Linked DNA regions of Nothobranchius furzeri. The main gene of each other region encodes a partner of the protein of the gene in region 2 in a complex. Links are inferred from orthologs where the notes say so. Each region holds a gene or a part of one and is shown on either strand. Other genes may lie near its edges.

The links. Proteins that work in one complex are often made in the same cells at the same time.
Region 1: polr1h (region 2) and polr1f share a complex: the UniProt entries of both Homo sapiens proteins name them as parts of the RNA polymerase I (Pol I) complex. The link is inferred for Nothobranchius furzeri from reciprocal best matches to the Homo sapiens genes POLR1H and POLR1F.

Annotation. Positions count from the first base shown.
Region 1 is NC_091751.1:28,041,407-28,045,161, forward strand, and holds the start of polr1f (DNA-directed RNA polymerase I subunit RPA43), read right to left. Parts: upstream 2,771-3,755; 5' UTR 2,726-2,770; coding exon 2,442-2,725; intron 2,169-2,441; coding exon 2,027-2,168; intron 1,956-2,026; coding exon 1,747-1,955; intron 1-1,746. UniProt on the Homo sapiens protein: Component of RNA polymerase I (Pol I), a DNA-dependent RNA polymerase which synthesizes ribosomal RNA precursors using the four ribonucleoside triphosphates as substrates.
Region 2 is NC_091751.1:25,535,571-25,539,325, forward strand, and holds the start of polr1h (DNA-directed RNA polymerase I subunit RPA12), read left to right. Parts: upstream 1-1,382; 5' UTR 1,383-1,486; intron 1,487-2,056; 5' UTR 2,057-2,079; coding exon 2,080-2,197; intron 2,198-3,755. UniProt on the Homo sapiens protein: Core component of RNA polymerase I (Pol I), a DNA-dependent RNA polymerase which synthesizes ribosomal RNA precursors using the four ribonucleoside triphosphates as substrates. Can mediate Pol I proofreading of the nascent RNA transcript.

The sequences.
Region 1 (3,755 bases), about 2.5 Mb from region 2:
ACAAAAAGACAAAAGCCTGGGAACTGATGTAACTTCAGTTTTCTGTTTTAAATGTAAATGAAAACAATAACGTGACTTTGACACTGAACCCAGGTGGAAACAGGAACTGATAACATATAAGAAACTAGGGCTGGGCGATATACCGATATTTTTAAAATATCGGTATAATTTTTAAACAAGATATAAGATGACTTTATACCTTTATAACTGGTCAAACTGCTATGCTAGTGACATGTTGCTCCGTCTCTAAGGGGTTATTACATGTATTCTCTCAAGTTTGCTCAATCTGAGAGCCTCTGGGTAAATGTGCTGGTCTAAACTTAGCATGTGGCGTTCTGGTTTTTAATTATTTGGGGACGTTCAACGCCAACGGAGTTCTGTTTTCCGTCCTGCTTGTGTGGAGAGACGAGTCAAACCCCTCCCTCCCCTGTGTAATGAGGAAACATCTACGGAAAGCCGGAGTGGGCAAATTACTTCAAACATATAGTAAGGGTTTGAATAGTAAACTATAGGGTTAACGTTTTATTTTGAAGGCGAGCTCAACGGGTGAGAAATGTTGCTCCGGGTTTTCCGCTGTGGTTTGTTATGCTAATAAATACTCCCGTTACGAGCAATTCTGTTGAAAAAGTTAAGAGTTTGTAAGGCGTGGGTTACGGCGACAGTAGCTCAAATATATTACTCATAAAAGAGCAACCAGAGACTCTGAGTCATTACAGTATAATCGCTGATATGAGTCAACACTGATAGATTCCAGCCATGTTTGCCCTGATAACTAATAACTCTATGGTGCATGACCCATGTGACCTTCAGTAGATGCAATTGCATCATCTACCTGAATCCTCTTGCAAAGGCTTACGTCTCGGCCTGGCCGCTCCGGTCATCACAGGATCGTCGGCTAGCAGTGCCTACACCACGCTCAGGACAATCCAGGCTCTTCTCATGCATCGTTCCACAAATGTGGAATGACCTTCCAAGCACTACCAGAACAGCGGCTTCTTTTTCAATTTTCAAGAAACTCCTGAAGACCCTGCTCTTCAGAGAGCATCTTCTTAACTAGCACCTTTCCTGCACCCGTCCCTCCCTCTAACGTCCACTCCTTTGTTCCCTCCTCTCCATGACTGATGTCAATGTTGTTGTTGTTATTGTTGTTGTTAGCCTCAAGGGCTACATGCCGATTATCACTTGTAAGTCGCTTTGGACAAAAGCGTCTGCTAAATACATAAACATCATCATAAATTTAGCCTAACATGATAGATTTTTGTTATGGACAAGAAATAAACGATATGGGCCACCTCTAGATGAAATCTAAATCATTTTACATTACTAATAAATATATAATAAAAAAGTCCCTGTGGGACATTTGATACACCTCTAGCTCTCAACTGTGTACGTGTGTGAGTGTGTGTGTGTGTGTGTGTGTGTGTGTGTGTGTGTGTGTGTGTGTGTGAGTGTGTGTGTTAGCAGACAGTTGTACCAGTGTTTCTAAAGCTCAGACTGGTTGAGAATAGGCACTAAGGTTAAAGTTGGACAAGAATCAATACATTTTTATGCATTTAATCTACTGATGTATGTTTATAATTTCTCAAGACAGCTTGAAGTGAGTTAACTTGGAAATACTTTACAGGAGGAAAAATATTGAGATATACATCGTATATCGGAATTCAGCTAAAAGATAGAGGAATAAGTTTGGGTCCATATCGCCCAGCCCTAAAACAAACCATCAACTCAGCATCAGCACCTACTCACCTGGTCCGGCCCAGCTGTCCCCTGATCAGCAGAACTCCTGCAGCATCAGCATCGAGCGCGGTCACCTTAAACTCCAGCTCTGTCCCGACTTTAGGACCAGCGTCCCTCCAGGTCTCTATGGACACCAGAGTTGGCCTGGGAATGCTGGCATTGAAACAACTGTGCACGAGGCAGCCAACATGGCTCACTCCCAGTTTATTCACTTTACCCTGTAGAAAACAAACCAACGACAGCAATTGGTGCTACTGAGATGACTTCTGATTAATTCTGTCCATCTTACCAGGAGTTTCTGTCCCCTTTTGGGCTGAAATACAATGAAGCTGGCTTCTATGTCCATGTGGATGTAGCCGCTGTCATTGTAGATGTCCCCATTTCTTCCCAAAATCCTAATGTTGTCATAGGCTAACAGCACTCCATTCAAACTGGAAGACACAAAACCAACAGCTTTAACTGGAACGGGAATACCAGCAGTTTTCCAAGCATACTATGACACAATCCTGACTCCATCTTTGACTTGAGCTCAAATAAACCTCCTGATGTTGAAGATATGTTACGCTGCTGATTCCAGTTGTTTAAAAAAAGATCAAATAGTTCATTTAAAACACAAAGAATACACCTTTAGCTGTCAGCTGACTGCCATAAAATGCAAGCACAGTGATTAAATCAGGCAATCCCGCCTGTGCTCGTCTTTCTACCTCTGGGAAAACTTCAGCAGCTCTCCGTCCAGCTCCTCCTGGATGCCAGTCTTCTTCTTGTTCAAGTACTGCGGCGCCAGAGCGACGTGTCTCCGGTGGGAGTTCAGCACCAGACACGAGTACGGCACCGGCAGGAGCTCCGACGCGGCCGCGAAGGAGGGGACCACGCAGCCCGCATCTCTGTCCGGAGCAGAGGACGGCTTCACCGGGGCGCCAGCAGCGCTCATATTGTTGGACAAGTCCACATGTTTTGGATCCTCCACAGCATGCTCGAAGTTCGCCATGCTGCCAGAGGACCGGAAGACAAACAACCGAGACTGTCGTGTTGAAGTTAGCGACTAAACCTTTATGCTGCCCCCTGCTGGCTCGGAGGTTCACTGGAGCAGCGCTCTTTGGGAGACCGTGAGCTAATAAGTACAAAAGATGTATTATATAGAAGATATTCAATTTTGTGATGATAAATGCAATAATAAGTTTCTAAGATCTTCATTAAGGAATCTTTTTGATCCAAACTTACTTAGACGTAATTACATATTAAAAGATTTCCAAAGGGAAGAAATTGAAAAAATAAGAAGTGATATCACCTTCCCTATCGCTCCTAAAGGGAAAGAAGTCCAATTTTAATTTTTGACCAAAATTTACCCAACCAATAGACTCCTTGGGGATAGATTCAATATAGAAGCTGGTAATTGTGTATTTTGTGAAACAGAAGAGGAGGACTTAGGCCATCTATTTTTTGTGCAATTTTATACAAATATTTTGGTTAGATTTTCATGCCTGGCTTTGTTCTAGTGGGATTCAAATTGCCCCATTTACCTTAAATATGATAATGTTTGGAGTGTTTTTGAAAGAAAAGAAAGTTAGTTATGGTGTTAATGTGTTATTAATTTTGTGTAAACAATTTATACATAAATGTCGATTTTTTAAGACCAAACCAACACTAGCCTATTGGAAAAACAACTTAAAAGTATTAGTTAAATCTTTGAATTTAGTTAAAAAGAAAAAGGCTGGTTTGTTATTTCCTTTGTAGAAGATTTTGAGTTAGTAAGTTAATAACCTGTTAATTATGTGACCCCATCTTTAGATTTTCCTTTTTTTCCATATACATGAAAATGTTGAATATGCATGTAATGATTATCTTTTGAATATATAATGTAAGGTGCATTTTGTTTGTATGTTATCTTCTCTAATAAATAAATAAATAAAGTACAAAAGATGTATTTACGCTGGTGCTCTCCACGTGTTAACAGTGCTATACTTACAGTGTTGCCATGTGTTGGATTCACAAGCTGATCTCTCTGTATTTCATCAATA
Region 2 (3,755 bases):
AACTTTGGGGTAGCATCATCCTGTCTATACTTGTGTGAAAGCAAAGAGTTGGTTGGTAACACAATCTAAGGGTGGATCTGTTAGTCAGGAAGCACTGATGACTTCGAGTAAGTGTTCTGCAGGCAGGACTGGGATGATTTAAATCCAGAAATTTGTCACTGAGGCATGTGAGACATGATGGTAGAATTGATATGTTGTTAATAAAGTTGCTAAAACATTTTAATCTTCATGATAACATTTTGCAACACGACCTTCAGTCACAAAGCTTTATTCTAATGCTCCACTTTTTGTAATCTTTTTCTGGGATGTCTTGAAAACAACAAAGGAAGATGAAACAACCTTCTGTGATCCATCCACGTCTGCTGGTGAAGTTCCGTTTCCTCCCTGACACATTATATGGCAGGAATTGATGGACCATTTAATTACTGAATGTGTGATGTCTACATCATCAAAGAAAGATTAATACTTGCATTAGGGCTTATTGTTTGTCATTCTTTTACTGTGTTCAAATTATGAATTGTATTTTTGATTTTCATTAACATTTAAAAGGAGTCCACAAATAATATAATATGGAAACAATTCATTAAAATAAAACACCTATGGAAAAGTCAGACATCCGTTCAAATTTTCTACATACATGCACCAAACAAATGAATGATCATAGGTTTCAGCCTGATAAGAAAACACAGCATCACTGTCTCAGCTGGTCGGTTCCAGTTTCACTCCAATGTGAACTAAACTAAATCAGAAAATTTCAAAATTTGTGATTTTAAGAACATTTGGTTTGTGTGACATCTGTAACCACCGATGTGTAGATTATTCTAGTGGCCTTTTTTTTCTTCTTCTTTTTTTTTTTTTTTTGTAAAATAGATAAAAATAAACAGTTATGAGCAGTACTGTTTTTGACATGGGCGACCTGGGTAATGGCCCAGGATGGCATCATGAGAGGGGTGGCAAAATGGGTACGAAAAAAAAACTTATTTTGGGAGCGCAGTGCCTGAACATTATGCTGGTGTGTGTAACTTTTGGAAACATTTGTTCTGCTGCGTGCTGCAGAGGGAGGAGGACAGGTCTGCTGAAGCGGCTTGAGTGAAGCAGCATCTAAAAGTAAAGTGTGTTCGCCCAGGGCACCGAACAGGCTAGGACCACCCCTGGTCATTGTTGCCCCAAATCTCTGCACAGTAATTATGAGTTTAGTGTTGTTTATTATTTCCACGTATGCTTTACTTTGGTATTGAAATGCTTCTGGAGATGCTATATGATATTTCCACCTTATTTTATTGTTTGACACCATTTAATGGTATTTGCGAATTAATTTAATTATTCCCAAATAACATTTTGGTCATTAACTCATGTCACGTAAACAAGCGTGCGACACTAGCACGTCCTGCGTCATCAGCCTGCGACAATAACGTGATAGGACCATATACATAGCTGTGGATAGGACCCTAGGACCTCTACTGCAAACAAGTGACCGGTGAAAGAGGTTTGTAACGTTTTATACTGACTTAATAAATGATGACAGTAGCGCTGTTTTGAACTAAATGTGTAAAGAATAGCCGAATACTAATATAAACATGTAAAAGGTTTCCAAGTAGCTCCACGTGCTCAATGTGCTGCTGCTACTACTGCTAATAATAACAATAACATTCACTCGTTAGATTTCATCACACAGCCAGGAGGTCTTTTAAAGTGTTAATTTATAAAGTGCTAAGTCTTCATAACGGAAGTTACGGTGTAACTATGGTTCTGTGAGTTCCTGGATGACTGCCAGTCACAGGGGTCACTCGGAACTTCTCGGGCGAGAAGATCCCGGGAGACCCGAACGTAGCTATCGGCGCGTAATTTATAGACTCGCGACCAGGTGCGCTACGTGTCACGTGCGTGACTTTGTTTACATTAGTACTCGACCTGCGCAGAGCGCGAGGAGATACATCCACTCTGTTTACTGCCACTGGCAGTCAGGAGGGAACGAAACAGAACCCATGTGAACCGAACGGGAAACCAGTGGTTCATGGTTTTGATTGTTGTTTTCAACGTGTCTGTGTTTCTCAAGAGTCAGCAGCCCGGTTCGACGGGATGTCTTATTTTAGTGGTGACCCGAACTTCTGTCCTGAATGCGGGAACGTTCTTCCGGTACCAGTAACCTCCAACACTGTCCTGTGTCCTCGCTGCTCCTTCTGCATTCCTGTTTCAGGTAACGTGTCCCAGAGCCGTTTCTAGCTTTGTGAGGGCCTGATTCAAGAGGCTGTTTGGGAACCCGGGTGGAGGTGGTGATGATTCCTCAAAGTACCACAAGTGTAGTAAAAAGAAAAAAAAATCACTTCACAGTAAATGTATTTAACGTGATAGTGATGCACCGATATGAAATTTTTGGGCTAAAACAAATATACAATATTAATATCACCGTTATGGCCGAAAACCGATACCGATATACCGACATTAATGCTTCTAAAATCAGCAGATTTTGTGTAGGGCTTGTGATCACACGTGATTACGCATAGCATTCTGCAAACTGTGAAATAAACGGTACTGTCGCAGAGTAGAAGCAGATTTGGGTGAAAGAAAGTGTTAAATCACATAAAATCCCAACAAGGATGTGGAATATACAGGGACATGTTATATAAAGACGTCGGGGACCGGTATGTGGACAAAATCATCATTATAAATGGTTTTGATCCACATAAAAGACCCAAGACTGGAGCACTGGTGACATATTGTTGCAGCTGCAGTTCTGCATAACAGACTTTTTCGGCTATCTTGTTTAACGTCCAGATGAGAGGTAAACGTTTAATTTGTTGGTTTTTCTAGTAAAACAATCAAAATTGTCATCCCTCAGAAGAAGTGTAGCGAGAAAAGTTATGTTGTGTATCATTAGCTTACCGGTAGGTGAGTGTAGCCTCTGTGTACGTGTGTGTTTCGTGTGCATGTTGCGGTTGAGGGAAAGAAACGATGTATAAAAACGTACACCATCTGTAATTTACCAGAATGAAAATAATTTGGAAGGTGATGTTTGGTCGCCTTACAGCTGCGATCCAAGTGAGCTAACAAGACTTTATGCTAGATACTTGGTCTCTGTCGTTTTGCCACTAAACAGGAAAACTGTGGAAAGTTAGCTTGTTTTTCACCTTAATTCCACTGGCGATCACGTGTGTCACATGAATTAATAATACATAAAAAGTATCAGCTGTTGTGCTACAGCTACTATTTACCGTCTATGTGGTAGATTACTGTAAATACAGGCATGAACATGTAAGCACACAAACAAATACATATATCAGGTGCATCCTGCATGGAGTAGTGACCGTAGCGTTTAAGTGGCTGGCTGACTAATGACGTCATAATGTGTTATAAATCCCATCTACTGGTGGAATCGGTGGTCTACGGGAGTGCTCCTTCCTGCAGCGGGGGTATATCAGTTTCTGACTGAATGAGCTGCTCAGGTTGATGTGTGTTGTTCATGATGGATGTTAGCTTAGCTAGCATCCTCCTCTCGCCCACCACCGATTCCAGGGGGCATCCCAGTACAGAGCTAGTCCTCTGCACCAGTTTGCCAATTCTGTTCTGGTCCCTGTCTGTACATCCGCTTCCCCAACAGGCCACTGCATAGAAAAGGGCAGATGCAACCGACAAATCATAAAAAGTCCTTCACAGAGTTCTGCATACTCTGAAGGACCTCAGTTTCTCAGCAGGTGGAGTCAACTGCATTTGAGATGGGCAGATGAAGGACAGTCCTTGTGGTAACTCTGGGAGAG